Linked DNA regions of Arabidopsis thaliana. The protein of the gene in region 4 interacts with the protein of the main gene of each other region in a pairwise test. Each region holds a gene or a part of one and is shown on either strand. Other genes may lie near its edges. The genes, in order: AT1G19040, NF-YB12, TCP1 and MYB112.

The links.
Region 1: the proteins of MYB112 (region 4) and AT1G19040 interact in a two-hybrid assay, tested with the Arabidopsis thaliana proteins (one large-scale study listed by BioGRID).
Region 2: the proteins of MYB112 (region 4) and NF-YB12 interact in a two-hybrid assay, tested with the Arabidopsis thaliana proteins (one large-scale study listed by BioGRID).
Region 3: the proteins of MYB112 (region 4) and TCP1 interact in a two-hybrid assay, tested with the Arabidopsis thaliana proteins (one large-scale study listed by BioGRID).

Annotation. Positions count from the first base shown.
Region 1 is NC_003070.9:6,571,823-6,579,816, reverse strand, and holds AT1G19040 (NAC (No Apical Meristem) domain transcriptional regulator superfamily protein), read right to left. Parts: upstream 3,741-7,994; 5' UTR 2,923-3,740; coding exon 2,404-2,922; downstream 1-2,403. Other genes in the region: ARR7 (response regulator 7), read left to right, coding at 739-886, 1,017-1,093, 1,313-1,390, 1,484-1,554, 1,652-1,898.
Region 2 is NC_003076.8:2,631,426-2,639,778, reverse strand, and holds NF-YB12 (nuclear factor Y, subunit B12), read right to left. Parts: upstream 3,948-8,353; 5' UTR 3,686-3,947; intron 3,586-3,685; 5' UTR 3,576-3,585; coding exon 3,521-3,575; intron 3,352-3,520; coding exon 3,262-3,351; intron 3,169-3,261; coding exon 3,074-3,168; intron 2,992-3,073; coding exon 2,923-2,991; intron 2,837-2,922; coding exon 2,654-2,836; 3' UTR 2,346-2,653; downstream 1-2,345. Other genes in the region: AT5G08200 (peptidoglycan-binding LysM domain-containing protein), read right to left, coding at 1-75, 631-761, 1,101-1,394; AT5G08180 (Ribosomal protein L7Ae/L30e/S12e/Gadd45 family protein), read left to right, coding at 6,405-6,537, 6,646-6,715, 7,577-7,682, 7,775-7,936.
Region 3 is NC_003070.9:25,166,368-25,173,917, forward strand, and holds TCP1 (TCP family transcription factor), read right to left. Parts: upstream 2,941-7,550; coding exon 1,861-2,940; downstream 1-1,860.
Region 4 is NC_003070.9:17,701,886-17,710,617, forward strand, and holds MYB112 (myb domain protein 112), read right to left. Parts: upstream 4,576-8,732; 5' UTR 4,493-4,575; coding exon 4,300-4,492; intron 3,462-4,299; coding exon 3,332-3,461; intron 2,793-3,331; coding exon 2,384-2,792; 3' UTR 2,247-2,383; downstream 1-2,246.

The DNA.
Region 1 (7,994 bases), about 11 Mb from region 4:
GATAACCTTGTAAAATACTTCTTACCCAAATTAAAAAAGAAAAAAAAAAAGACAACAAGAGGATTAAATTGTATTAGTATCACCATCATACCATTACACATAAATAAAATTTAGTAGAGTATAAACGAATCACGTGTATAGGAAAATACAAAATACAATGTTGAAGTTAAAATGAATATAGAAGTAGATTAATTGAGCAATAACCACCGGTTTTAGATCATTGATTGATATGTAAGTAAAATGCAAAGTAGTAGCCGACTTGGCAAAGAAAAAGAAAAAAGAAGAGAGAGAGAGGTAAAACTAAAATAAAATTACTAAAAGCAGAAGGAAAGTTCCAGGTCACGAGGGAGTAGTCGCTGTCGGATTGAAAGAAACAGACCAAACAAAGATCTTTGAAATCTTAAAAAAGATTCGGTGCCCAAAGATTTTGACCTTTGAAGACACATTTGATTATTTGTGTTTTCTGACACTTCCCAAACACATAACATCAACACTTGACCCATTTTTAAGATTTTGTTTCCTCTTCAAAGATCTTACCCCGCAAGATCCGATCTTCCAAATCTCTCTCTATCTACTATACTAGTACTTATTAAACCCCACCACCTCTCCCTTCTTATTTATGTCACCTAACCTAACTTCTTCTTCTTTCATTTTATCACATTCATTTCCTTTGTCTTCAATCCAAAGCTTTCCTCTTCTTGGAACCAATCTGCTCTCTTTTTTATTCTGAGTTTGACAATGGCGGTTGGTGAGGTCATGAGGATGGAGATTCCCGCCGGTGGAGATTTGACTGTTACTACTCCGGAGTTGCATGTTCTTGCCGTCGATGATAGTATTGTGGATCGTAAAGTCATCGAGAGGTTGCTTAGAATCTCTTCTTGTAAAGGTAAAAACTCAAAACCAATCTTTTTCTGCTCTGTTTTTGTTGGTTTTAACTCTCCTCTGTTTTTCTTCTTCATTAACAAACTCTCCTCTGTTTTTTAGTTACAAGTGTCTTTTTTTTTTTGTTATTTCAGTGACGACTGTAGAGAGTGGAACTAGGGCTTTGCAGTATCTTGGCTTAGATGGAGGCAAAGGGGCTTCTAATCTTAAGGTAATTAAGAATAAATCTTCCCTCTTTTGCTATCTACTGAGAAGAACTCTTGTATATTTAGGAAAGACCGAAGGAGTGAAACCTTTGCAACTTTGGCTTTGGCTATTGCTTCTTCTTGTCTTTATGATCAAATGAGATTTAGAAATGAACTAGTCTAGTTAGTGATTTATGTGTTTTGGTATTAAGATTTGATTTTGTTTGTGATTTTCATCATAACAGGATTTGAAGGTGAATTTGATAGTGACGGATTACTCAATGCCAGGACTTTCAGGATATGATCTCCTTAAAAAGATTAAGGTAATAACAATAATAATGGATTTACCAATCTGAGAAAGACTTAAACAAAGCTTTTTTAATGCTGCTTATACAAAACTCCATTGATATGTGCAGGAATCTTCAGCATTCAGAGAAGTACCAGTAGTGATTATGTCATCTGAGAACATCTTACCTCGTATACAAGAGTAAGTACTGATTGTGTAATGTGTAGTGATACAGATGGGATCATATTTGTGTCTACACTGTGATCTAAACTTATCGACTTCTTCTTCTTGTTTTTAGATGTCTCAAAGAAGGAGCAGAGGAATTCTTGTTGAAACCGGTGAAGCTAGCAGATGTAAAGCGAATCAAACAACTTATAATGAGGAATGAAGCTGAGGAATGCAAAATCTTAAGCCATTCTAACAAGAGAAAGCTTCAAGAAGACAGTGATACATCATCATCAAGTCATGATGATACTTCTATCAAGGACTCTTCATGTTCAAAACGAATGAAATCAGAATCTGAAAACCTTTTTTCTCTACTTTGAATTATATGTATAGAGGCCAAGACCTTAGCAAAACCATTCTGTTAATATTCCTCAAGAAAGACAATGTTTGAGAGAGTCATCACACTACTCATGATGTTGCTTAAACAAAACAAAACAAAAAAGAGAAAAGAATCAAATGTTAGGTTCACACTGACTTACACCTCATGTAAATTCTTCAATGCTTGCAACTCAAGCTTAGGATGCTCTTCTCCCGGAAGTATTGGTCTATCATCAATCACGCAGGAATCGTTTTTCAGGTAAGTGAGTCTGCAAACCGCCCAAACAGGATCCGAAGACAATTGGAATTCTTCTACTTTCCACCCGGTCATTGAGTGGACACGCCCCACATCGAGATTGAAAGAATATCTTGTTTTAGTTCCCAGAACATTTTTCTCTATGTCATTATCTATGATTTGTGTAACAACACCATTGACCCTCCATGTTTTCTTCTTGCCCCTGAGGTAGAACATCAAATTCAGCTTTTCACGACGAGACGAACACTTTCTCACAAAGTAGTACCATTCACTGTCCTTGTAAAAAGGAGATCTAACATGTTCAAGAAGCCATGGCTCCATGGCATATAGCTCTCTCTCTCTCTTATGAAGCAGCTGAAGTCTGGTGAATGGGCCTTTGGAGTGAGGTACAAAGAGAGTAGCTCTTGATCAGTCGGATGAAATCGGAATCCGTAAGTAAAGACACTTGGTGGGACGTTCTGACCAGAACTCAGAGCATCATGTATCTGCTTCAACACATCCCATTTCAAGCGTGGATGTTCAAACCCGTTCAATCTAGGCTTATCTAAGTACTCATTCCCGAGGGGGTTTTTCTTAACAAAGTAATACCATTCATAGTGATTGTAACACGGATCTCTCACATGCCCAAGTACCCACGGATCCTTGTCGTACAAGTCTATGGTTTTGATAAAGCAGCTGAACTCCGGCGATTGTGTCTTCCGCATAAGGTAGTCTGTCACTTCTTCATCAGCTGGGCGAAATCGAAACCCGCGTGTTAACACCTCTGACATTTTTGCTTCTGATCCAAGAAACGAGAAACCAAATTCATCAAACTCGATCTCTAAAAACAAACAGTGATCTATTATTCTAAAAGAAAACCCAGTAAAAGAATTGGAATCATGGTAATGAATATGATTTCTTCTAGCAGTAGAAACGGTGTGAAAGTGTAACAGAGACGAATATATGCTGAAGAAGAAGAAACTTGATTATGAGAGAACGAGAACTTACATGAATCAATGATCGAAGATTTCTTCTAGCAGATTAACAGAGAGACCCAACGACGTGAAAACTTAACAGATATGAATGTTCGAAGAAGTTTCTGCAAGAACCCCAATAACGAATTGGAATCTTGGTGATGAATGCTTGAAGCAGAAACTTGGATAACAAAGAACGAGAACTTACCTGAATCAATGATCGACGATTTCTTCTAGTAGAGAACAGAGACCCAACAGATATAGAAATTCTGAAAGAAACGCGACAAAGAGTTGGATAACAGAGAGATCGACAATTTCTTCCACGAGAGAACAGACTTCAAACAAACCGTGATAATCTAACAGAGATGAACGCTCGAAGATGATAAGAAAATTGCAATCTTGGTGACGAATTTTGAATGCAGGAAGAAGAAACTCGAATATTTGATAATTAATATCAATGTTCAGTGGTTTCTTCAAGCGTTCCTCTAAAGCGATCTTGGACTCACTCTGTGTTTCTGTTTCTTGCTGCCAACGGATACGCAACAATAACAATTACAATGTGTTTAAAGATAAATCCCCCTTCGCCGACTTCACTAATACTATCATTTGTATTTTATTCAAAATTATAATTTTTTAAACATCTTCACAATTGTTAAATTAAAAGGACTGTATATCATATTTAAGACTTTTATTTCCGAAATTATATATATTTCTAGGATATGTATTTTCTCATCATCGGACTCCTAGGTATTTCAAAGACTATGTAATACATATTTGGATTTATTTTGAAAACACACATTGAAGGAAGACTTTTTAAAAAAAAAATGCATCTTTTTAATACTATTTTTCAAAAATGTCTCCTCCATAGAAACCTTTTATTGTTTTTTTACTGAAGATGATTTTTTAATAAAAATATATAATTTAAAAGATTTTCCTTTTCCCCGATTAGCTTCGCCGGAATGTCTCCGCGTTCCGGCAAATTTTGTAATCCCAGCTATCGAAGTGGCTATTCCTTTATTGGGCTGTAATTCACTAAAAAAAAAAATCAATAAAAACAAAAGAGCACCACTGTTTTTTGGTAAGAAATCTATTAGTATTTTTTCACATTTTACATTTTAAAATATTTAGTAGCATGTTCTATTACTGATTATTTTTCCTAGGACCTTTAACTCAAAGCCTCTTTTTGGGAAATCCCACAAAGATGGGCAAGTTCATAAATTCTCCTGAAAATCAAATTAAGAAAATGTTATGACATGTTTTCTGGTTTAATCATTTATAGATAAAAATAAGAGAATATGCACAAAATAACTATGAATTGTAAAAAAATTAACAAAGTAGCTATGGTATCAGAGGACACTCTCTTTCATCACTTGTAATTATTTTTATACCCATTATCGAATTTTATATGTATTACACGCTATTTTACAAAATCACACAAAACACTTAGATGATTCCATGGCGAAAAACTTTTGATGAATCCGAACAAACCACCACTCATCTCTCTTTCTTCCACCACCACAACCACCACATCTTCCACCATCACAACCATCAGTCTCTTTTTCGATAAATCTAGGCTGCTAAACGTTATTTATATTGACGGATCATCTCTCCTTCAATTTGCAGAAGATTTCTCATTTTATTTTGTTCGATTTTGATTCTTTCTTGGAATCTCCGTCGTTATGTTTTCTTTTTACATTGTATGTTATTTTCTTTTTTACCATGCTACTTTCTCGAATTACACGTTATAATTGAAAATCTCTCTCAAATAACATGCTATTTTTTCATATAACAAATTATTTATTCTCATAGCACATTATAAAATGTCACTTTTTTGATAAATATCGTGCTATTTATTTTGTTCGATTTTGATTTTTTCTTGGAATCTTCATCGTTATGTTTTCTTTTTAAATTGTATATTATTTTCTTTTGTATCATGTTACTTTTTCGAATTACACGTGATAACTGGAAATCTTTCTCTGTCAACATGCTAGTTTTTCATATAACACATTATTTATTCTCATAACATATTATAAAATGTCACCTTTTTTATAAATATCATGTTATTCTCATACTCTTGCTTTTGGTTCAACTTGCAAGGATATTTTTGTATTTTCTTATGCCGTCATAAGGTTATTTACTCACATACAAATTAACAATGGTTAGTTACTACATTCTTTTCAATTCTACTTTCTAATATTACCCTAAAAATAATTAGATTTTTTCTCTCCTTTTTCTGTCATTTATAACATCATATCTAGATATATCTCGTCTAATAATATTTTGATGATAACCTGCAATATAGATTATGACGAACAACTTTTATAGATAACGATTCTACCATTCAGCTCTTCTCGCAACACTCGGATACACGACAAACGATTATGCATATATGATATATGATGGACATACTCTTTCTGCTTCATTTGAGACCACAACGGTGACCTAATTATAGTACTCGATATAGATTACGATAAGTTATGCATCAATAATCTGCAAAATCGAACCTGAGACTTGGTGTAAAATTTTTTTTTGACAAAAGATTAATTTTTATATCATTTTTGACTTTTGACAAAAAGCTGATTAAAGCAGTCTCCAAATAATAAATACAACATTACAATTTGCTTCTAGGCATTCAAGGATAAGTTACGAGGTGAAATACCAATTCTGAGCCTGCAAAACTCAGAAATTTGCGTGGTTGTCACATGACCGAATAACCGGAATTCTCATCGTAGTTGCCACGAGCATATCTATTTGAAGCTGTCCTCAAAACCTCGTGATAAAAGTCTATAGCTTCTCCGAGAATTAACGCAAAAATACTTAAGCAATCATGAACTTTTTCACTAATTCAATGAGATAGCGATGCCACTTAGACCTATTTGCTGCCATAAATTCAACACTCTATTAACCTTATCAATGCACCCATATTCTCGCATACATAAAAAGAACCGACACCAACAACACCAAAAACAACAAAAATCTACCTAAAAGCAACCAAAAACGAGGCGAAGGGACGAAGAAAAATGGTCACGGGAAAACCATAACCATGGCTGAGGAAGCTGCCACCCTCTACAGCCCACCAATGGAGGAGAGATGTTGACCACCAATAACAAACCACAACACTTCTAACCGCAAAGAACAAACCAGAGAGCCAAAAAGATCTCGTGATTTGCCTCCACAAGAGAAGCTCGCCGGAATCCAACCACACTATCACCGGAGCGAGAGAAAACTAAGGTGGAGAGACCCGATAAATAGTGGTAACGTAATATTTATACATCAACAAAGAATACTAAATCAACTAGATATAGTATCATAATTGGTAAACTACTTGCTTTATTGATCGAATAGTAGTAGTACCGTATTAACCCGGTGCAAATTATATAACAAAAGTATATAGCCAATGAAATCTCACATAATATTCCAATTAGTAATATTGTAGAACTGCAAAATAGTAAGAAAAATAAAATAATAAGTGAGTAAAGGGAGTTACAAAATATTAGTTTTTTTTTTTTGAATTTAATATTAAATTATATTAAAAAAAAAAAAATTGTTCTACAACTTATACATACTTGTTTTAAAAGACATCATTCAAAACAAAAACAAAAAAATCTTCTCTCCTTGTCTTGATTCAAACCAATCTTGCAAACCTCCTGCAAGTTTCATATCTCCGCTACTCCGAATTGTGCTCAAACGATTCCGAATGATTTTATCGATCACTCTTATCAGTCTCTCGCATGGGGATGGTTCTTCATTGTGTCGTCGGTTGTTCCGTTCTCTTCAAAGAGAGTGGATTGCATTTTGAAATATGTACCCTACAATGAAACACTTCGTCTTGCTTAGCCTATTGTCATGTATCAGTTTGAGAGTTTCCGTCCAGTTTGCGGTGAAGCTAGCGTGGAGGATTCCCTTTGCGAGCTTCGTCCAGACCTGAAATGAGTAAGGGCACATAAAGAACAAATGATCCCATGTCTCCAAAGTGTGTTGACAGAGAATGCAGTTTGGAGTTACTTGCGGGTTCCACTTAATCAGCTTGTCACCCGTAGCTACTCTATTTTTTTGAACGAGCCATGTGATGAGTGAGTACTTCGGAGTCGAGTGCTTGAACCAGATTCCGTTGTAGTTCTCCATCAATAGCTTTGCGGTGCGAATCTGCAGCCACGTCTCTTTGGTGTGAAACTCTTTTCGATAGTGGTCATGCTTTCCATTCCATAATGCTACATCGGTCTCATTCGATCTTATGAGCTTCTGTTTTACTATTTCGTTTTCGACTTGATTCAAAATAGCTACCCGATATTTTCTTCTTCTTGCCCCTGCCATTACCTCACCCACAGTAGCAGTCATCGGGCTACCCAAATCAATGCACCCTCTTGCACCCAATCTGTCATAAAGACAACCCATCTCACTCCATCTGTCAAACCCAAAAGAAGAAGCTTCGCCGTTTCTAACTTCCACTCGATAGAAACTCTTTGCTGTGTCTCTGTATTTCAAAATTTTTTTCCATATCCAAGAACCACAAGTTGTATTCTCTTTCACTAACCAAAAGGAGCCTCTTCGAATAAGATATTTCTTAACCAATTCCACCCAAAGCGACCGCCTAGCTGAGAGAATGCGCCAAATCAACTTCAAAACACAGACTTTATTTGCTTCTGCAATCGAGCGTAATCCCAAACCCCCTTCTTGTTTTGGAGAACATACTTCAGACCATGCAACTTTCACCTTCCGAGAGTTTAAAGCTGAACCTGACCATAAAAAAGCAGAACACGAATATTTGTCTTACGAGTTAGAATTCATGGTTGACAAAATCCGCTGAATAATGAAGCAAATATTTATATGAAATCGAGTCAAGTAGGAAGAATTATTGATTTGGCAAAAAATCTAAGAGAGCAAAACTT
Region 2 (8,353 bases), on a different chromosome or scaffold from region 4:
AGAGACTGAAATGAGTCAAACACTTCCTGTTCGCTATGGTTTGGTGATTCCGGTTCGTGGCATGAACATCCCTCTCTGCAAATAAGATTCCATGTATTAGAGCCATGAAAAGAGGATTACTCCATAATGATAATATGCAGTTTCAGTCCAACACAACTAAAGGCACTAGTTGTTTGTCTCGAAATTGAGATGTTTCCTATAGAATTTCTAGTTCTGCAGGTGATATAAAGAAAATAGGATCCTAGTTCTACCTTCGCTGAGACTTTTACAGCAAAGTACCAAAACCATTTTACCAATCAAGAAAAGCTGGTATAGGGCTCTTTGAATAAATTAAGAAATAAGAAACAAAATGCTCTGCTGATGGTGTAAACTGCTCTGCTGATGGTGGAACACAAAATGCAACAAAATGCAAACTAATGCAACAAAGCATCAACAACTGCTCTGCTGATGGTGGAACACAAAATGCAACAAAATGCAAACTAATGCAACAAAGCATCAACAACTGCTCTGCTGATGGTGGAACACAAAATGCAACAAAGCATCAACAACAATCAGCTATAAGAATCCATCACTGGAACTTAAATGATAGCAAATAATAAATCATTTAAAAGTAATAAGCTTTATTAGTACCCATGGTTTAAGGAGCCATTAGATAAACATGGAGAAGGAGGATGTCTCCCAGGTAACGGAATCTGAAGAGACTTGAGAGCAAACATTTGAAGATCAGTAACAAGGTTATTCATCTTTTTCACATCTGCAACCTGAAGTAGAAAGTTTCACAACACAAAGAAAAAAATAAGAACAACGATTAGGAATAATCCAGCATCAAAAGCGAAGCTTATACAATTTAGAAATAATCCAGCTCTCTCTGACAAATAACTTTTTCCTCATGTGTTGTTCTTCATCATGCGTCAATTCCCACACAAACAAAAAAAAATCCTAATGCTTTTTACCAGTACCATTAATTCTACCTTTTGCCTCTAATAAAAATACCGTTGTATGTCAATATTACTCAACAACCTTAACCAAAGTCAAATATTCTGGAGCTGGAAATAGCCATCACTACACAAACCAAACCTAAATCGTTAGCAGAATTATACCTCAACACCGTATTTGATGGCAACGCCGGCGAGAGTATCAAACTTGGAGATGCGGTGTTCGATATATCCACGGTCAGGCGAATTGGAACCATGAAATGGCGGAGAAGAGCTAGAAGGTGGAGGAGACGAGGTCGGAGACGGGATCCGAAGGATCTTCGATCTAGGAGGACTCTTCTCACGGCAATTTTCCAATCGATCTAAGAATCCAAAACCATTATCATCTCGGAATTTGCCATTGCTATATTCAGGAGTCCCATTACGACCAGAACTCCGTCTCTCTCGATCCATAAACATAATCTCTCTGGGTAAATCCTAACTATTCTACACTAGATCTGATCAAAATTTCATCATCAAGTAGAGGAAACAAGAAATCGAAACGGCGAAGGACGAAGAGAGATTCAAAAAAAAAAAAAACGGAGAAGAAAGTGAATTACAAGGAAATGATGAAGAGGCGTTGTTTGAGAGAGATTAACGAAAAAGAGAGAGGTGAACAAAAAAAAAACTCGTGGACTAGAGAGTCGAATTTTTTCTCAGAGGATCGATGGAAACTTTTGCTTAATTTTATTTCCTCAGATTTTCCGGGAAAAACGAAACGAGAGATCTCTGTGCTCCTCTCTCGTCGCAGCGGTGGAATTGGAGTTATACCATAATTTTTATTTAATGACGCTTAAAAAGAGAAACAAAGCAAAACTAATTCGTATTGTAATTAATTATTGCATTATTAAGACTAAGCTTTGCAAATTAAATCGAGCTGAAACAGCAAAAATTTATTTAATTAATTGATGACAGAAATGGGTGAAATCAGATCTTTATAAAAGTTTTAAGTAATTTTTTTTCTAGAAGAATAATTATAATATTAAAAAAATAAAAGTGCTCGATACATTTTTACAAATGAAGTCGAAAATATTGTGAGATTCTGATTACGTAGAAATAATTATCTACTTATAAAAATTATTAGATTACTTATTACTGGATAAAATAAAAAACTTTGAAAGGCAGAAAACGAAGTGTGTGTGTTTGACAAAGAAGAAGTCCGCAAAATGTCGGCGAGAGAGTTAAATCCATTCTTCTTTGCCTAACCAAAATTACTCTTAACTAATAAATTAAACAGTTGATTAGACATCCAAGAGTGGTCCAACTCCTCTCCTCTAGCCCTTGGTTTAATTCCATGGTTTGGGAAAAGAAACCGGGTAAGTTTCTCCGGTTTAGATGCTTCAATGTTGAAGCCGTACAAAGGAATCCAGATTTGGTGATCAGACTAGAAATGGATTCAAGACTTCAGAATTATGAAGTTACACATAATTTAAGGGGATTTGGATTCGAATGACACTAGTTGCTAAGATTCAATAAAAACCTTACTAATTACATCTGAATCACCTAAGTGATTTTAGATTCAAAGAAAGGGGAAAAAACACAACCCTAAGTTAAAAAATGTAAAGAGCATATCAACACCAAGACGCGACGAATTTTGCACTTTACAGAGATATTGCTAGAAAGAAAAAGAAGTCAAAAGGATAATGTTAAAATAAGGGATTCCTTTGCGGTTTTGTTGATTAGCTTTGTAGACTTGTTTGTTGTTGTTGTTGGGGTTCTTCTAGTTGCTCTGGTTGAGGAACTGTAACACCTCCATTCATTCTTGCTCGAGCTTCTGCAAACATCCTCTGTTGTTCCGCTGCCGCCTCTTCTTCCGTCATCTCTGCTCCGCTATTCATCTTCACACTTCTCTGCGAATCCTGCTGCAGAATTGGCAATAACACAAATGATACTGATTATAATTTCATTCAAGTCTGGATCTTATTGTGAGCTAGGAGATGATGGTTACCATGGTTTCATATTTATGTTGCTCATACGCGGCATAAACTTCTTCTACGTATTCCCCAAAGCCAAGAACCTGTGTTTAACAAAATCAAGATTACAAAACATGTATATATTTCACATAGATGTATCAGACTGAGCTGAATGTAACACCAAACCTGTAAAGCTTTGAGTACGTGCTCAGGGGCTATTGTTCGTTTATCCTCTTTGTTACACACTTCATTCGACTCCGACGATATAAGATTTATGAACTCTACAATAAACAAATTTGAACATCATAAGTAATGAAATAAGCAAATTTGAAACAATGTTCGCATTCATAAATCTCAAGACTAATAATCATTACCTACACAACACTCAATCAATAGATCTTGAGCATCTCTAGCAACACGAACATCTGCGGGTAACATCTCCTTTATAATTTTCGTCATGGTAGCTGAAAGAACAAACATATTTTTTATCAGACAAAAATACAGAGTCATTGCATTGAGTAACCTGAAGCCATAGCTAGAGCTAGATTTACAAAATCTTTCAATTTAACCAAGAAATTGACAGAACCAAAAATTAAGTAGTAGATCGATCCAAAGAAGGAAACGAGACCGAACCTTTCGGAAGCGAAGCATCTTCCTTTGATTTTCCAACTATATCCATCGGATCCATAGTTTTAAATCTACATGATCAGAATTCAAAAGGAAAATCAGATTACCGGAAGATCTAGACCGCGAAGTTATAAGATGAAGAACAAAGGAGAAAACAGAGATAGACTTTACCGAGTTTAACACGGATCGAAACAGAGGCAGATCAACGACGGAGATCCGGTGAGTTAACAGACTCTCGAGACAGATTCACGGCGAGATCGGAGACGTGCAGTCGTACGGAATCTTATCGGCGGATTTTCTCTCTCCTTTTTCGGTTTCTCTACGCAGAAGTCGATTAGGGCAAAAAAACATAAGACCAGAAGTAAGTGCGTGACTTTCACTTTTGCCTTAAAGTGATTGACGGCGCGTAAGATCTAATTTCGTTATTTTTTAAGACAAATGAAATGGGCTTTTTACCGAACATTACATATGTAGGCTTGCTTGCAGCAGACACGACCCATTTCAGCCCAAGTTTTTTTTTTTTTTTTTGGTTTTGAACAAATCATCCGCTTTTTAGTCCACTGGTTAATCAGAGAAATTAGGGGATGTATTGAATTTTGAAGTATTTTGTAAGAGTTTGATTTATTTCCAACTCCATGTCATTCTTCTTTTTAGTATGTTATTCATGTTACATGTTATTCAAATATGATTTTTAAAATGTCTTCCTAAATCTTATGATATTCAAATTCAATAACTATGTTACTACAATTTTTTCTTGGACAAATATGTTATGAGACTTTTAGATACATTTTAGTTATAAATATGAATCAAATACATTTTAGTTCTAGAAGAAAAAACCAGATCTATAAAGTTTGTTATTAAAAGATAGAGAGAGAGGAGGGATGTAGTAGGCCAATAGGCAAATCAGAGAATCACAAATGGTATCTGGTCAAGAAGATTCCTGGTTAAAACTTTCATCTCTCTGTTTCCTTTTTCTTTCTTTGTTGGATTCATTAATTTGACATATCTCTATCATCACACTGATTCTCTTTCTCCCAGTTTGTCTGCAGATGCATGTGTGTAATCTAGGGTATATGTTTTTGTCCATTTGGTTTCATAAGGCAATAAAGATCCAGCTATTTACTACTTGTGGTATAGATTTTGACTGTTGAATTTTCAGATCTGATGTGTTTCGTTTGATCCGATTCGGAAAATTTATGTTTCGTTGACATTTTGGAGTTTAGTTGGAAGAAGAGTGAGAGTCGCTGGAGGCAGCGGTTCATCGATCTCTTCCTGTGAACACATTAAAAATGTAAAAGCATGAATAGATCGATAAACCTCTGCATCCAGCGTTTGCCTCTTGTATCTTTCTTATTGACTTGAATCTTTTTGTTTATTGGTTTTTGAAAGAAGAAAAAAGTGAGGGAAAACAGAGTCAAGTCCGATTACTTTTCTGGGAAAGCTGAGGATTTTGTGTTCTTAGAGAGCAGATGAAGAGGTGACTGTTGTTTCTGGTGAGAATTCGACCTCTTTAGTTTGTTTGTTTTTTCAGTTAATGAAGTGCTTGTTATTGAAGTGTGTAGTTGACTGATAAGCGCCTTAGCTTTATCTTAATGTTTATCAAGTAGATTTGGCGTTGGATAATTAAAAAGAAGTTCAGATTCTTGTAGGTTGCTTACTTCGTCTGACCAAACAATGTTCCTGAAAAAGTGTTGTGTTTTGTTTCATGTATCAAAAAGTCTAGCTTCAAAATTTTCTTGCTTTTTTCCAACATGCAAGATTTCTCTTTATAAATCGGTACATTTGTAGGTACAAATCGGTACAAATTTGCCATTGTATAAATCGGTACAAATTTTCCTGTGTTCTTGTAACAATGCCCTTTATACATTTGTAGGTGAGATAGAAGTTGGCATCTAAATTTGCTTTCTCTGGACCAGTGAAATCAATTGCAGTCTCCTATATATTGTAGTAGGCGATGTATCAGTGGTGAAGCGAGGATGACATCTGTGGGTACTTGTTCTTAATCCTTCACTCTGATATCTATGCTTTAGAAGCGTTTCAAGTTCATGAAGCTGATTTGATGTTGAGTTTTTAACAACAAGAATCAATTCACTCCAAAAATATGTAAACTCTGCCATGCCTTGAGCTGCTTTTTGGATTATCCACTGTTTTGTTTTGTGATTAAGTTCATTATTTTCTACTATATATGATGAAACCGAAAATTGTTAATTGCTAACGCAAACACTGATCTCCATCCCCATGATATTCCTACGTACTTATTGACCCGACAATGACATTCAAGCTCCAAACATCAATCTTCACTTATGGCTTTTTGTTAGTTGTTTGTACATTTCCTCAAGCAAGTTAGAAACACGTTTTGGTAATAGAATCATACTGTTTTTTGGTAATATATATAGATAATGGATGTCATGGATAAAGCAAAATCACTTGGTGAAGTTTTTAAAAAAGTCTTTTCATCTGAGCATCCGATAAAAAACCTCATACTAATCGTTGGAATTTATTTGCGAGAATGTGGTTAAATAACATTCACCAGCTACAGTAACTAACATTATCTTAAGGAAAATTTGATTTTTTTTTTTTTTTTTGGTCGGATTTGATTTTTTTGATTTTCAAGCTAAACAACATACAATATCTCAAAGTCAAAAGTCAATGAATGTAGCAAATCTTAGTCTGTATGAAGGCCCAAATAATTGGGCCATTATATGCAACCAGTTTACCTCATTAACAAGCCCATATGAAATTAGGGTTCCTATATTTTACTGGTCAATAATACACTTCTCTATAAAAACCCTAACACTTCTGGTCATATAACAACCGCCTAAACCCTAGTTTTTTCCGCCACACTCTTCCGCCATTATTTTTGTTACTTGGAGCTAGCTAGCTAAAAAATATGGGAAGCGATACCGAAGCAGAGAAGTCGATTCAAAAGGAGAAGAAGAAGTACGCTATTACTCTTGCTCCTATCGCTAAACCTCTCGCCGGCAAAAAACTCCAGAAGAGAACTTTCAAACTCATTCAAAAAGGTACCAATCTCAGTTCCAAGCTCGCTTCACATCTCTCTATCTTCTTTATTTCTCATTATATATTGATTAGTAGCTCATGTTGGTGTATTGCTCTGTAATTTTTGTCAGCTGCTGGGAAGAAATGTTTGAAGAGAGGAGTTAAAGAAGTGGTTAAGAGCATAAGACGAGGCCAGAAAGGGTTAGTTTTTTCATTCTTTGTCTTTTTATTGAGTGTGATTTATGATTGTTTTGTGTTGCAGATGGCTTAGCTGATGTATATGTGTTGATGTTTTGTGTTATTAATTGATTAGTTGATGTTATTGTCCTGCAAATTGCTTAGTTAGTTTTGAAATCCGTGTACAAATAAGCCGATGCTCTGGATTAAAGTAATGAATGTAGCATGGTACTGTACACGGAAACTGAACTATGGATCGACATGTCTGCCATCTCTGATTTTTTCCCTGATTAGACGGCCTGGTTTAGATCCACATTCTCTGTTTGTGTTGTGATTATGTTTGTGAAAACGGTAACATGTTCTTCTATGATCATTCATGATGTTATCTACTAGTGTAAGCTCTTTATTTAGCTGATTTTGAAAGCCGTCTACAATTAAGCCGATGCTCTGGATTAAAATAGAATGAAGGAAGCATGGTACTGTGCACGGAAACTAAACTATAGATCGACATGTCTGCCATCTCTGATTTTTCGTGATGAGACGGCCTGGTTTAGATCTACATTCTCTGCTTTTTGTTACTTATTATGTTTGTTTTCATTGATGTTATGATAGTTGTTTGCATAGTTGATGTTATATCCGTGTACAATTAAGCCGATGCTCTGGATTAAACAGAATGATTGTAGCATGGTACTGTGCACGGAAACTGAATCATGGGTTTCAAATGTCTGTGCCTGCTCTGAGTTCCTTATTGGTTCTTTGATTTGCGGGCCTGATTTGAACCCACATTTTTACATTTCTAATTGTTTTTTCCTTCTTCTACGCAAACAGTAAATTCTTTTATGTTTTGAATGTTGTATCTGATGTGATACGTTTGTGTTTGTGCAGATTATGTGTAATAGCTGGAAACATTTCACCTATTGATGTTATTACTCATCTTCCAATCTTGTGTGAGGAGGCTGGTGTTCCTTATGTATACGTTCCTTCAAAAGAAGTAAGCCAATTTTCTTTCTTGATTTCTATCATCTTACCAATTAATCGGTTTTGTGGTGCTAAGATATTCAATATTTTTTTTATGAAATTCAGGATCTTGCGCAAGCAGGGGCAACGAAACGACCAACATGTTGTGTCTTGGTAATGCTTAAACCTGCGAAAGGAGATTTAACTGCAGAAGAACTTGCAAAGTTAAAGACAGACTACGAACAAGTCTCTGACGATATTAAGGAGCTAGCAACTTCTGTAATCTGATTAGAAACTAGAATGGGTGTTCCTCTTGTGCTTTTGATGGTTAATGAATATCATCATATTTACGGCATCGGATATTACTTTGGACTATTTAAGGTTTTTGATATTGTAGCGCTAATCGATTGTAAAAGTTTGAATCATGAATCCTATGGTTTCATCTGGTTAGTGCTCTCTTTATGGCGTTTTTTTAAATCTCCTCCTTACGTGTTTAGTCATTGTCTCCTTACGTGGTCAGTACTTAGTCATGTCTTCGTGCTATCGATTGGTTATTACATCATTATTTATTATACAGACTAATTTAGTTTTTGTTAATAATCAACATTAAGTTATACACAACTTTTATTTGGCATAGCTATATATCTTTTTGAATTGTTATGTTAGAAGTTTGTTGAAATGAAAGATTACGGTTGAAATGACAAT
Region 3 (7,550 bases), 7.5 Mb from region 4:
AATTATTTTCAACTAAAGTATGATTTAAAATAGTTTTGTTATATTTTTCAAACATGTTAAAACAAATTTTTATTTTCATAATATATTATTTCTTTGATTATTTTCTCATTTTATGAGATTAGGAATGTACAGCGAAAAAATTGTCACATGCACAAACAGCTTCAAAAAGAAACTACATTTGGATAAGCTTTCTAAAACTTGTACCGACTATACTTGTAATGCCAACTTCTCATTCTTCAAAACAGAATCTTACAATCTTCGATGTGTGTGGTTCAAACTTAGTGGAATCTTAAGTCCCTATATATTGAGATTAGATTCCTTCCAAGGTTAAAAAGAAATTCTTATTGTTCATCTTTATCTTGACTGCTCCAACGTGAATGTTCAACCTTCTTACTTTTTTTTTTTTTTCGGTTTAAGAACAACCTTATTACGTACTTAGTCTAATTAAATTAGACTAGCTTTAACCATATATGATCATCTAATTTGACTAATTATCCTAAAATTAGTTAGTTAAACCAAATAAATTTAGGCATATACTGTAAATTTAAAAATTATTAACAAATAGAATCAGTCAAATCTTGTATCATTCTTTTACACGTTTTCATTAACTCCTAACATTCAGTTTCTTAAAAAGTTTTACGTTTTGATAGGATTTCCGACTAAATTGTAAATTAAATTAAAACGACTAAATTCTAGAATCTCAAATTGGTGAATATCAAGTTTCATAAGCAGAATTGATTGGCTAATCTCTTGTATATATGGATCTATTTGGGGTCAGCTAGGAACAACAATATTGATTTAGGTTCATGTCAACGTGTGTTTGGAGTTTGAACTATGATAGCATATTCAGTTTTGAGGATTTATAATAATTCAAACAAATTGGTAGTGACTGAATTGATCCATGTACTTATTTACTACTAAGTGAATGTTATCATTTCAAAACATTGAGTTTTCTTTTGGATTTTTTTTTTTCACATCTCTAGTCAGAGTTTAACCTAAAAGCCTTAAACAAATCTTACTCGAATATGTTAAGTTAACAATCATTGTTTCCAAAACGCCAAACTTCAAACCCCATAAACAAACAACTCATATTTGCTTCAAAAAGCATCATTGCAAAACATCCTCCGAGTAAGAGAATAAATACACCAATATATAAATGTGTATATATCTTCTATATAGACAATAATATGAAAGTAGGATATATTCTCCTCATACCTGGATGGCCAAATCACAAACTATGAATCAAATAGACACCACGGCAGGCACGCCTCCACATTCCACACACTAATTCTCAGTGTCACCTTCAATTTGCAATGTAACTACTTCAGTTTCACTACGACCCTCAATATTCATCATCATACATATTTGGTTTTGTGGGTCTTAATTGAATTTAGGGTTTGAAGAACAAATTCTAATATATGGAGCTCTAACTTAAACAAAAATGGCTTAATCTTAAAGACTAGCTCTTATGTGTAGTGCCTAATCGAAGTATGAATCTTGGATTGTAATGGGATGACCAAATATATAAACATGTTCTTATTCATCTTCAAAATATATAGTTCAAAAGGTTACAATAATACCACTTAAAAGTTGTAGCTAAAATATTACACAAACTGAATCTTAAAATGACAATTTTGATCAAGGCACAGAAGATCAATAAAGATACGTTAAAAAGGAACAGATATACATAACTATAGATTTTGTATACATTCAGAGGAATAAGGGACTATATTGGCTTACATGTTTAAACTTGATCATGCATAGTCCTTCAAAACTGTCGAGATTTATAGGAAACCTGCCAGAAACAATCAAGAGAAAGAAAACATATCATAGAATGCAAACATATATATGAACAATAATTTAGTTTACAAAAGAGTCTTGAATCCAAACTTTACCTTTGGGGAAATTTTTGTCGGTGACTACATATAAGGTTTGGTCATGAAAAGGGTTTTGATCATAACTATAATCCAAATTTTGAGGCAGAAATGTATTATAGTTGCTGCTAGAACTCTGATCTACCAACATAAGTATCCCATTATTTTGATTGTAACTTTGACCCATCTTCGTTGGTAGAGTCATATTGGTTAAGATAGATTCTTGATTATCAAACTCCTCGATTGGTTCCTTGTAGAAAAGGTGTGTCATATCTTCTCCTTCATTGAAGACTATAGACCTCTTGAATGGGTCCATGATTTCAGATTGTGTAATATCAGAGGCAGTCTCTGGATTATCATAGGCCATCATCTCTTTTGTTCGCTCCTTTGCTTTTCCTCTAGCTTTGGCTCCTAGCCCCTTTGATGAGATGTTTCTCAACTCACTCTTCTTCTTTCTTATCCCTGCCTTCGTGGCCTCACATACCACTTCTTCTTCACCGTACCCGGGGCTCAAACCATACACGAAGCTCTTATCGCCATTGTCATCCTCCTCCTTCTCCTCTTCTTGTTCTACATCGCCTCCAATGTTTCCAAAATCTTCATCATCATTGTTGAGGTTTTTTGCTTGTACGACCTCTTTGATGGCTTTTCTTGACTTCTTGAGCAGCCAGTCTAACGTTTTACTAGCTTTATCAAACCCCAACATATCCTGAAGATCAAAGAATTGGCGAGCAATCCCAATAGAAAGCCTAACCCTCCTGTCTCTAATCCCTTGTGCCGTTTGAATCTTGCTATGTCGGTCCTTCTTCACCACCTTCTTGATTTCCTTTGACACCTCAGGAAACTCAAAGCCTTGTTGATTCACAACATTATTTGACTTAAACGCCATGTAATCGATCAGAGATTCAGGAACTGCTGATACCATATGGCCCGGAGATGCTTTTAACTGATGGTTGTAGGGATTATGAATGATGTCTTGATGGCCAGAGAGTGAAGAAAGGTAAAGAGAGAGAGGGTACACTCCATTGTTATTACCATCGTTGTAGTCATTGGTGGAAGACGACATCACCGAACTTAAGAAGCTAAAAAAAACCAAGAATCAAGAATCAAGAACCAAGAATCAAGTATTAAAAATATGCCTTTTTCTTAAGAAACAAAAGCACAACTTTCACATCATCAAAAAGAGAGAATCTGGCAGAGAGAGAGAGAGATAGTAAGCGTACAATTTCTCACACCAGCAAAAAAAGAAAGAAAAGAAAAAAACTATAGAGATATTAATGGTGTAAGAGATGTGTAACAAGAAAATGGTTAAGTGTACAGTGATGAAGACATGATTTTGTGTATGTAATTGAAGATCTGCTCGCAAAAAAGCAGATCTGTTCTTCTCCTCTCTCACTCAGTTACAGGTTAATTTTTCACTAGGGTTTACAACTTTTTTCTAGGGTTTTCAATTCCAGATCTAATATCTGGTTATGAACTTATATATTGGGGATTAACCTCAAACTCAACTATTTTTAGTATCTTCTTAACATTTTACTTTTACTACGTATACATATACAAGTAGGTAACGTACCTTTCGTATGAGTGCTCCACAAAAGCAACATCTAATTAACATGGCCCATATAGTCCAAAAATAATAATTCAACAATAGAAGACGACATATGAAGGATTTGTTTCCATTTCAATGATAAACATCACGCTTTTAAGAGTCAGTATTGAAGGCGATCGATGTTCTTGAATGTATAGTATTTCACTGTTTTTATTTTTTGTCGGATCTCAGACAAGATCTGCTTTGCTTTCGTTTTGGATATAAAAAAAAACTTCTATTCTTTTGTCCAGTGGTTTCTAGTTTTTCCTACATGCCATGGAAATGGAAATTTAGATTTTTTTTGGTGGGTGAATTAGTTTTGACCGGTTAACGAAACTATAGATATGGAATAAATGTGTAGTGTACATATAACAACGTAACATAAACATTATCCCTTTATTTAGGGTTTTTGTCAAAAGAGAAAAGAGGCTTTAATGTGACCTGAGTTGGTTTCCCGTACGATTGAAGATTGTGAAAAGATTTGTCGTTTTCAATTTTCTTTTGACGTCTCTAGCTAGTAGTCAAGGGTTGTTCTAATTTACAGTGGGCGCAAATGCAATATATGCATTCATGCACCCAACTGTTTATATACAAAACCATAGAAAATATAGTTTTTTTTTTTGTTATCACATAAAAATAGTATTTTATCATTTTAGTAATTTGAAATGTGTAACAATATAAATACGACGGTTTTAAAAGATATTTGAAATGAAAAAAAAAATAAGTTGAATCATGACAAAATAAAGGAAACTATATAATTATAACGGTTTCAAGCTTAACAATTTAGGGTTGAGTAGAATTTGGGGTTTTAGATTTTAGTTCTTGGATTTAGTGTTTAGTTTTTAGAGTTTGGAGTTTATAATTTAAAGTTTATAGTTTAGATTTTAGTTAGTATTGTTAATTTATACAAATCTACACTAGTTTCTACCCTAGTAAGTTTAAGGGACGAGTGATTTCTGTTTTGGGTACTTTGAGTTTATTGGAAAAAAAAATTTTCCCCAGGAGAGCTATTTTTTACAGATATTTATACCCTAGTATTTAAATAGGCTTTTAAATCGGTCAATCTATTAAACTCATGTTAGTATAATCGCATAACCGTTTAAGGATTTTAAATCGCAATTGACTCAATTAATTGAAGTTGTCTAATTGTGATGAATTTAATAGTTTAGGTGGAATTATGAGGTTTATGATATAGTTCATGGTGAATTGGGCAGAGTCTAAAAGTACACGGTGATACGAGTTGAACACCTATAATTCGTGTCGGTTTAAACATTTTATAGGCCTTAGGGCTAATTTTTAAAATAAGTCCCTAGCAATGTAAATTGTACAGTTATTTTTTTATATAGAAACCTTTATAAATTTTTTTATATGTTATGAGTATAGGAAAATAAATTTTATGAACTTTTTTTCTCAGAAATGTTTTTTTGGGCCCTTCTTACCCATATTTTTTTATTTTGCCTTCTACCTGTACTTTGTTTTTCTTGGATATTTTTTATCCATCAATATGAGGTACTTGAATTTGAAATATTTTTAGTGGTTATTTTACGATTTTGAGGAAAATATCTGAACTAGGATTGAAGCTAAAAGGAAGGGAATATGTTCGACTATCAAATCCGGGAAGCTTAGAAAATGTGTGAGGGAAACTGGTAAATTAAAACAAGCCATCTATCAACGTAAGTCTCTAAAAAATGAAACTCCAGCAGAAGTCGCTGAGCTTTTTTTTCTTTAATAAGAAGTAAATCGAAGATAGATTTGAAAAATACGAAGTGGCGAACAGCAAATTGAGGAATTGAGGAACATGTATTTAGGATATTAGGGTTTACAGAGTACATAAAGAAAAGGAAGGAAGATAGTGAAGTCGCCCAATTATTTCACTCAACAATGGTATAAATTTCGAACACTTGTTGTAGATGGAAGTTTTGGAGAATGAGCTTTTGGTTTTGGTCAGTGGTGGAGACTGGAGACAAGAGAGTCTTCAATGGAGAGAGGTTTTTTTTTTTTTTTTATTAAACAGGAAATGGTCATTTTTGAGTTATTTGATTCTAAAGTCTCTTCAAATTTCATGTTAGAATATGTGGGTTTGTTTATGTATTAAATAGATGTATCTAAAATCTCTTAAATTCTTCGTTTAATATGTGCTTTTTAGAGACATGGATGCATTCCACCCAAAATCTATAGATCATGGGCTACCACTTTAGTTTACATATTTATATTTTATATTTTCATTTTCAAAGCAATCATCTTAAGTCTTCTAATATTGGTAACAAATTTATATCCCCAAAATCTACATCTCGCTAGGATGCTAGAACATCGTTCATTTTCATCATCGAGTATCCAAACTAGTAAGAGAAAGTCCATTTATGTCGGTTGTCAACTAAGTAGAATCTCTTACAGATGGTTAGCGAACATGTAGCAATGATATATTTGGTATAATAATCCTGAGCCTCAAATACTACAGTATTTGGTCAAGAGATTGCTTAAAAATATTGAATACAAATTTTGATTATTGAGGTAACCTGGAACGTTAAGAAAGAGAGAGTGCTCTCTGTTAACCAAGGAAAATAAGCAATTCTGGAATTAGGCATATGTCAAATGGGCTGACCCTTATATTGACAGTCCAAAACTCAAAAAGCAATTGTTTATTTTAAATATATTTAGGCCTACTCCTAGTATAATTCAGCTTATACTTAGATCATGATCCAGTTCAAACACCATAATAAGGTAGTTCCAAAATTTTGTTTAATGAACATATAAATGGTACTAAACTATAAAGTCTCAAACCTTTGATAAATTTTGTTTGTAAACGTATTCGTTATTTGATATTATTTAGAGTTCATATTTTATAAACTTTGAAAAGTTTTACCTCTACGTAAAAATGTACAGTTATTTCTGTAATTCAAATATAATAATCAGTTTCAAATTTAAAAATGGCTTAAAAGGGGGAAATGAAACAATAGAAGATGGGCTGTGTGGATATAATGATGGGCTACTGAAAAGCTTTGAGTAGTAAAATGTGTAATCACTGTGAACGACCCATTTAACGAATATTTTGCGATCTAATTCCACGATGTGAAGTAGGAGTGGACAAGTTATTTGGATGATCCACACCGATTTTAGATCTGTCTCGATTTTTTAAATGTCCATGATCATGAATATGAGTAAAAGCGGTAAGAATCTAGAGGTGCATGTATAATATATGTATGGATACTGAATATTTTAGTTTTGATTATTCGAATCTGACATGAAAACATATATTATTAGTTTTTATACAATGACAAAAGCATAATGTATACAATCACGTTTTGAAGTTCATGCTTGCCTGAGGAGACTTCGAAGTCCATGTAGATCTTGAAAATTTGTTCGCAAAGATAGTTAATTAAAGTGCTATCAAACTAGCTAACAATTTAATGTTTCATGTAAGTATGAAAATATTGAGGAAGAGCATTACTTCATAAAGCACAAGATGTTTGATGGGACAATTGAAGCTTTACAAACTTTAAGATAACATTGCATATATCTCCACCAAATCATTATCAAAAGGCCAACTTGAATTACTTTGCTCGAAGTTCGGGTTGACTGACATAATCAGATTTAAGGTAGTGTTAAATTTAAACTTGATAACGGGTCTAGTTTAATTATGGGTTCATGATCCAGTTATCTCTCTGTTCCAAATCCAAAATTAAGCCCACATGCTAAAGTTTCACTAAAAACATTTTACAAGGTTATACCTCCTTGAATGTTTCTAGAGAAATCTATAAGTTAAGTATCTAAATTTTAATATATTGAAAAATATAGATATTTGTATGATAAAATTTTAGATGATATGGTAGAATGTTCAAGATATTAAGATAGCATTTGTAAGATACTTGGTGAATAAGAATTTATGGGTTGTCGTTGGTGGAAGTAGCATTACAGATGACAAAAAAGCCAAAGCAATGTTTGCTTGGTCAATATCTTCAGCTTATATGAGCATGTATTAAGGTCTACATTGGCTAGTTCCATTTGGTAGGCATTAGATCAATTGTTCAACAAGAAGAACAAGACTAGCCTACATCTGTTGAAGGACAAGTTAGGCGAACGTGAAGTTG
Region 4 (8,732 bases):
TTGGTCCCGAAGATGCAATTATGTCCCTAAAACAGGGATTATGAGGAAGAAAAGTTTATACTAATACAAAATCAAATTGTTCTCTATCATGGAGTGATCACTTTATTTGTGTTTAATTTTGTCGCTTTATCTATCTGCAATAATTTTATTGAAATGAAAGTCCAAAAAACATATACTTGTTTTCTGCACTAACATTCCCTATGGAATCTCTCTAGAAGCACACAAGAAAATAGAGAGGATACATATAATAATGACATAAGGAAGTGATTATCTTTGCAATAAAAAAGAAGAAGATGTAAATTTTTATTCATTTGGTACCATTGTAAGCAATGTTTTAAGATTCCTTCTGTTTCATGTTAAGTGATAATTATAAATTTCTATGCAATTTTTTTTTACTCATTATATTTTGCATTCTGTTTTTTTATTGGTTGAATTTATTTTACTTAGCTATGTTTTACATAAAGAAAAATACTAGACAAAAAATTGATATGTTTTCTTAATTTGTATGTAAAAATCTTAAATTTCACTTAAAAAAATGACACAGAAAAGATATACAACAGATGTAGCAAACCAAATTAGTTAGTAGTCGATATAAATGAATTTAGTTTGAGGATCGACAAAGTCCACCACTTCAGTCAATTACCAAAACAGAAACCGGATAAATGATAAATCGATGTTAGTAACCAATAATCGAAGAAACGAGAGCCACTATAAAAAAAGATACTCCTATTTTCTAGAGGATGCTAAAGAAATAAAAAAGAAAAGACACGTGACAGATGGAGCGTACATGTGTCGAACTGGGACCACTTTCGGGTTGCTTCTCATGCGCCACCTTCTCTCGGATTCCCATTACAGCCGCCATTGCCACTTCTCTCTTTCCCGGCCTTCTAAAAGCAACAAGCGCACGTGTTAAATGTTCACACGTGTCCTTATCTTTTCTCGTAGATATCTAAATTATTATCTAAAATTAACAATCTGTTCTCAACAATCAACATACAACAATCAACGTCAATATATAATATAGTTATCAAAGCCAAAATCAATGATTCTATAATCCAACAAAGCAAAGATATTCGTGTGTGAAAGGCCAGTATTCCATTTACAAAATTGTAATGCCAATTCATTCCTTTTTTCACTCCAATTCAATTACTATTGTTCTGCTTTTTTCTTATAAAGAGAATATTGAAAAGATAAGTTTAGAATAAAAATCGACCATGCATTGTTTGATATTTTTGGATTGTTTCCATTTAGTCTATAGACGTGTTCGATGATTAATTTAATATATTCTAACAAATAAAACAATTAATACTTTGATTATAAAATAGGGTTCGGGTGAATCTGTGATCCTCCTTACTCGACGTAGTGGAAAAAAACACTGAGAAATAATTTATTTAAAAGTTTAACTAGAGTAACTTATTTGGGTTCGTCCCCTCTGGACGTATATAATCTCGATAAAGTGTTACATGAGTTGGAGTAACTAATAGTATCTTAATCATGATTAGGAATTGGAGACATCATTCACGTCCTTTTCTTTTAGTTAAACTATTAATGATTATACAAACTAAATTAATATGTGATTTTAAATGAAACTAACGATATTATTGGTTAGCCAAACAAGAAAATATAGGCCCTACAAACTAGAAATTTCCAAAACAATAATAGCACCACAAACTACATAACCGATTTAGAGAATTCAACATGTATGTAACTAAAGTTTTTTTTTTATTTTTAAAAAATGATATTTGAGACGACGAAATTTTACTTGCATATTTTTAAGAGTTGATACCATCTTTAAGTGCTCTAAGCAATATGTCTCATTGTCTCGAGCATGCAAGATTTCATGAACACTTCAACTCTGAGTTTAGATGAGAGGGCCAAATCCAAATTAATAATTTATTTAGAGTAAAATAATTATTTGATGTTCACTTCATATACACATCATGCATCAATCTCTATTTCAACCCATTAGTTAAATAAGTATGTAATGAATTTCTTTGGGATATGTTATCAAATACTCATAATGTTTTTAATAATGCGGTGATATTATAAAACTTAATTGATGATCATATATGGTAGATTATAAGTGATCGTATGGGAGTTATTAAATGAACCAGGAACCACATAAACTTTTTGCTAAACTCATGTTGTTGTTTTTCTCTTCTTTGCTCTTATAGTCTTATCTAAATCATGCTTCTGTGTAACAATATATATGTTTTTGATATTATTAATTAAGCAGTTTTTTTTTTGTTTTGTAAAATCATACATCACAATAAAATTAAACCAATAAAAAAATGGAAAAAAACCCGGAAAACCTTTAATTTTGTTTTGAATGATTAGTTTATGTTTATTATACATTACATTCATTAATAAACCCATGAAATGCCTACTGTATGAGCCACTTGTTGAGCTCGTCAAAACTACACAAAGTTTCAAACGTATCTCCGCCGTTGAACCAATAACCACCATTTGTCATATGATCCAACGTTCCAAATTCCACCTGATCACCACCGTAGAAACTCGATCTCACAGCCTCAGACGACGACGTTGATGACGTGGCGGTGGCGACGCTGGAGTTCTCAGGCGAGTAGTGGTTAGAGGTAAATTGGACACTTTGAGTGGCGGCGATTCTCTCGATGAGACGAGGCATCCAGAGATGTTTGATGGTGTCTTTGAATTGCTTGCTGTTCACGTCACATTTTAGAAGTTTTGCATGCTTTTGAACACGTGTTCTCCAATAATTCTTTATCTCGTTATCTGTTCTTCCCGGTAAATGTTGAGCAATCTTTGACCACCTTCACAATAGAAAAAATATCAAAACTAACTCCATTATTAAAAACACGATTAATTTTATAGAACATCGTAATTAAACTCTCATTCCGTTTTTTATTAGAATCATTTATACATACAAAAAATATATTAAATTTCTAATATACTTTTTGTACGTATATTAATTGTTTTTGTTAAAACCGACTCTTGCTAAAAATATTATTTATAATGAATCGGAGGGTTTAATTATTTATAAGTTCTATTGTAGTACTAGATTAATCAGTTTTTTTAGTGTTACTCTGATAAAAAAAGACGTTGATGTGTACCTTAATTTCAACTATGATACAAGTTTCATATAGTAACCACAATTCAACCAAGAAATTTCAAATACGCATCAAATTGATTTTGTCAATTATCTACTAATACAATATTGAATAACGAGTTATTTATTTCATAGAGACGTTCCAAATTTGCTCTCTTCAACGATATGTGTCCCTTTTTCTATTTTAAGTAATGTATCGACAATATGACTATGTCTATGTCGATATAAATAAAGGTTTCATACCGATTTCCCCAACGAGAATGGAGTTCAAGGATGATAAATTGTTCTTGAAGGGATATGTCTCCACGGCGGATATCCGGCCGGAGATAATTTAGCCACCGCAATCTGCAACTTTTCCCCGTTCTATTCAGTCCTGTCTCAATAGTAAATGATTTCAATATAAATACAATTAGTATAAAAACATGAATTAACTGGAATGTACACTAGTCAATAGTATATGGACACTAGTACAATTTCCCAAATCAATAAAGATAACAATTCCATGAGGCTGTATGGAATTGGATGGTTGGGAAAGGTGTTTGAGTTCCACACTCAAAAGGCTAATATGAAAAGAACTCCAAAGGAAAAAATAAATAAATTTGGACCGACCAAACTGTTTCATACGAAAGTACACTTTTAATGATAATAATGAACTATGAATATGTCAACTTGTTCTTTCTTACTTTACCAATTCTACAGAGGAATTTAAATTATGCCGACATGGAGAAGTCACAGCCATAAGAAAAGTATTCTCATAGTTACGAAAAATCACATTCATATATGTATATCACTCACATATGATGTGATAGAAATTGAATAACATATTGATAAGATGTGGACGAGTTTTTATATCTACTCCATTTAATTTCAGTTAGTTATAAATAAACTCTAAACTAAACTTCACATGATCATATTAAAATCCACAAAATCCAAAACGAATTTCTAATAAGAAAAAAAAAAGTTTCAGTCTAAATGTTTAAAAAACAAAAACGGACTACTTGTTTGACATATAAAGAATCCTTCAATACCAAACTTTAACCATTCAAATCAATGATAGTTTAACAATCACTCTAGAGATATGATATGGGCATATAAGGATTTGTTATGATGACTTCAATTGATCTGAATCGATCGATTTACGCATTACATATTATATATCATGCATGATCACATATTCTGTATATATATATGCAAAAGGCTTAAGAAGTTACCAGCAGAACGAGAGAGGGAGTTCCATCTTCCTTCACCGTGAAGAGAAATGTAACTGACGAGCTTCATGTCTTCTTCCACAGTCCATGGACCTCTCCTTATTTCTATTTCCATCTTTTTCTCGACTTCTTCGACTTCTTCTTTATGATTTATAAGGGTTTTACAGTTTGCGAATTCTGTTCTACTTATATTCATGCTTTGAGATTCTTAGAAACTTGTGAGAAGATTGCTCTGAGAAAGATTTTAATTAATGAGGGAGAGAGTTCTCGGAATGGACATAAAGTGATCGAGTTTTCAGGGTGGGTTTTATAGATTTTTTTTTGTTTTGTTTTGTATATATTATAAATAAATACCAAGCATTTGAAATCGGCATGTTAATAGATAAATTATTACCCGAAGATATTAGTGGAATTTTCGCAAAATAATAATTTCTAAGTAATAGTATAAGAGTTCTTAGTTTCTCCTTAAGCACATGCTATAGTTAAGAGTTGGATAAGCTATCAAGTAAGTAAAAGTAACCGAAGAAGTAATTTAAATTAACATCATTTATTTATCGATATAATTTAGTTGATGCAACAAACCCTTTTTTCTGTAGTATATAATTTTGTTTAGTTTTGATTCAGGTTTCCTTTTATTAAACCAAACTAGAATTTAACCCTCAATATAACACGGGACAATTTTGTTTTCACATAATCTTAACTAAATTAGTGTAATTCTACATATTTAATATTAGTGATGTTAATCAAATAATAAAATGAGAATTTCACCGTATTATAATGTCGGTTAATGATACTTTTAATTTTTTTAATGTCGATTTAAACTCATTTTTCATATACCCAGTCTCAAAATATAACATGTACTGCGTTATTTTAGACTTTTATATATATTCATTTTATTTTAAACTTTATACTGAGTTTAAATATATCAATTATAATATTTCAAAACTTTCAAAGCTTAAAATTTACTATATCCAGTAAAATTAAACAGTTCAATTAAAAACAGAATTAAACCATATACAAACTTTTAAATTTAGATACTTGTTAAGTTAAACTTCTTGTTTATTTAGATTTAGATTTATTTATAACATGACTCTTAATCATTTTCTAAACATTTTAGCCCATGTGAAATTGAGACGTTGAACACACTTTTTTATTATTTAAGTAATATATATGTCTAATTCTAAAATTTTGAATCAGAATATAGGTAGAAAATAGTTTATTATTAACTTTATATGATGATTCAAAACAAATAGAAAACAAAATCAAACAAAGATGATTGCGAATCATTATTTTAATTCTTAACACAATCTTTTAATATGTATTACTAATTTTGGAACATTATATGTATATTTCAAATTTTATAGTTAATGTTAAAAACAATCAATTGATTTGGTTATACGGATAATAAAAATTAATAGTAAAGTTATTTGAATACATGAATATAAGTAATGACATTCTCTGTTAATATTTATCAAAATAAAGGTGTTTTTTAAAGTATACTTCAAAAATAATACTCCCCCTATTCTTTATTAATTGATTTTTAGAGAAACAAAATTGTTTCAAAAAGATTGATTTTTTAGGTTTCTATGCACTATTTATTAGTTATTATTGATGAATTTTAAACTTCAAGACAAATAATTGAATATCATTAGTTTAGAATTATTAAAAAATTAAATCACAAAAATTAAATCAATATGTTTACTTAATCTGTGATTGTTTCTAGAAAATCAATAAAAAGGGACAAAAGGAGTAATTTTTAGTCATGATTTCAATTTGATGCAATTTTGGTTTAATTTATTTTGACTTACGGTTTAGATTCGGTTTGGTTTTGATAAAAAAAGTTAGAACATATATAAATACAGATTGATGAAAGAAACTAGTTAAATTTTTTGAAGTTACTAACTTTTTTGGGTTTTCTTTAGTTTCGGAACTCTTGGTTACTTTTTTTTAATGGTTTTAGCTATAAATTTTAGTTTTTTTAATTAGAAATAGAAAAGGATTACAAAACAAAAAAAAGACTCAAGAGAATGTAACAATATAAAAATGCTTTGATAGCATGAAAGCAAGATGCAGCGAACCTCAAAACTCTAAATCGAGTAAAGCTTAACCTAACCCATGTCTCTAACCATAAACTCATTAAAGCCGAATCAGAGTTCTACAAAATGTAAAATCTCGATGAAACTAGTTTTAGATCAAACCATTTTTGCCAAACTTTACACTAGGTCAAAAGTTTTCCAAAAAAAAAAAACAAAAAAAGTTTTAACACCATTATACGTAGTTAAAAAAAAAAGAGAAAACAAAATTGCATTACCTATGATTGATATGTTATTAGTGGAGTATTTGCCATGGTTTTATCGTTTTTGATAGTTTTCTTTGCCATACCTTTTGCCATGTTATACAGTTTTGACAAAATAATGAAAAGGAAATTTGTTTTTTTTTTCTTTAATCCATAAAACAATATATCGATTTATAATATTTTATTATGTTTAGGTAATATTTTAGAAATAACCAAAACTATGGCCGACAGATTTTCATATTAGAAATCTTCTTTTAAAATTGTGGACTAGATATAACACTTGACAAATCGTCTTTACATGTGTCTTCATCGGTTATCGCTGCTGAGACTCTTAACATTTAAGGTGACATTGTCCTTTGTTGCCAAAGCTTTGAGGGCGGCATCAAAATTGGTAAGTGCAATAATAGAAAGTTCTGAATATTCGGTATAATTTTTTATGAATGAGGATCAGTCGTGCTTTTAACGAGTGATTTGAATTGCATGCTTATGTTTAAGAAATTTCGTGACGCATAGTTGATCAAAAACTTTGTTACACCAAGAAGATTAAGTTTTTTAGTTTTAGGAGTCGACTTAAAGAACATAAAACAGAATGAAGAATTATTACTAACCTTACTTTCTGAAATTTTATAGTAAAAGCATTACTAACAGAACCAATAAATAATTGTTTTTACATAACAACCAAATTTATTTTATGATTTTAATATGAAGATTATGTTTCTTGTTACATGAGAATTGTTGTGAGATTTATATGGACCACATTTAACCATATCTACACTTGAAAGTAAATATCAACATATTGATTTTTGGTCAAACTTGTTTAATTATGTACTATAGTAAGGTAATTTCTTTTTTGACAATAAGGTGATTATTTTTCCATGGTCGTTAAATCAATAACAACATAATTATGTTGCCAAAAAAAAAGAAACATCAACTGCATTACAATGTCAAAGCATTTTATTTTGTTTCTATTTAATCTAGAGCAATAATGTCGGATCATTTAATATATATCTTTTAATTAGCACTTTATATATATATATTTAAATAGATATCCAGTTTTGTAATGTAATAAATAAATTTTTAACACCCAAATCTAGGAGTGTCAAAATGGGTCAAAATTCATGGGTCAACTCAACTCAACTCAACCCATGAACCTTAATGAGTTGAAAATTTTTGACTCAAATGAGTTGATGGGTCAAATGAGTTATCGGGTCAATTGGTTTGATGAGTAAATGAGTTGGATTGTAATGGTTAATGGTTTCAATGATTTACCTAATTAACCCATCAAAATTTGTAAAATTGAATTAAACCAACTAAAATCTCTAAACCAATGCTAATTTAAGTTTAACCAACACATCTAAACCAATCTAATAAAATTAATATTTTTCCAAATTTCTTAAATATACAAGCGATGAATTGAGAAAAAGTAAACTCGTAATTTTTCCACCAACAAACATAAACCCGTGATTTTCCCGCCAAAAACGTAAATCCGTGATTTTTCTGAAAAAAACGTAAACCCGTGATTTTCACGCCAAAAACGAAACCCCATGATTTTCCCACCAAAAACAAAAACCCGTGATTTTCCCGCCAAAAACGTAAGCCCGTGATTTTCCCGCCAAAAACGAAAAACATGTAATTTTCCCGCCAAAAACGAATACCCGTGATTTTCCCGCCAAAAACGTAAACCCGTGATTTTCCTGCCAAAAACGAAAAACATGTAATTTTCCCGCCAAAAACGAAAACCCGTGATTTTGCCGCCAAAAACGAAAACCCGTGATTTTCCCGCCAAAAACGAAAATCCGTGATTTTCCCGCCAAAAACGTAAACCCGTTATTTTCCCGCCAAAAACGAAAACCCGTGATTTTCCCGCCAAAAACGAAAACCCGTGATTTTCCCGCCAAAAACGTAAACCCGTGATTTTTCCACCAAAAACGTAAACTTGTAATTTTTTCGCCAAAAACGTAAACCCGTGATTTTCCCGCCAACAATGTAATCCGTAATTTTCCCGCCAAAAACGTAAATCCGTAAACGGTAGAATCTGTAAATATTTTAAGTTTGATAATAATGAATTAATAATTATTAATAATGATAATTATTTATTATTGTTTTATAATAATAATTAATTAAATTATTATTTAATTGG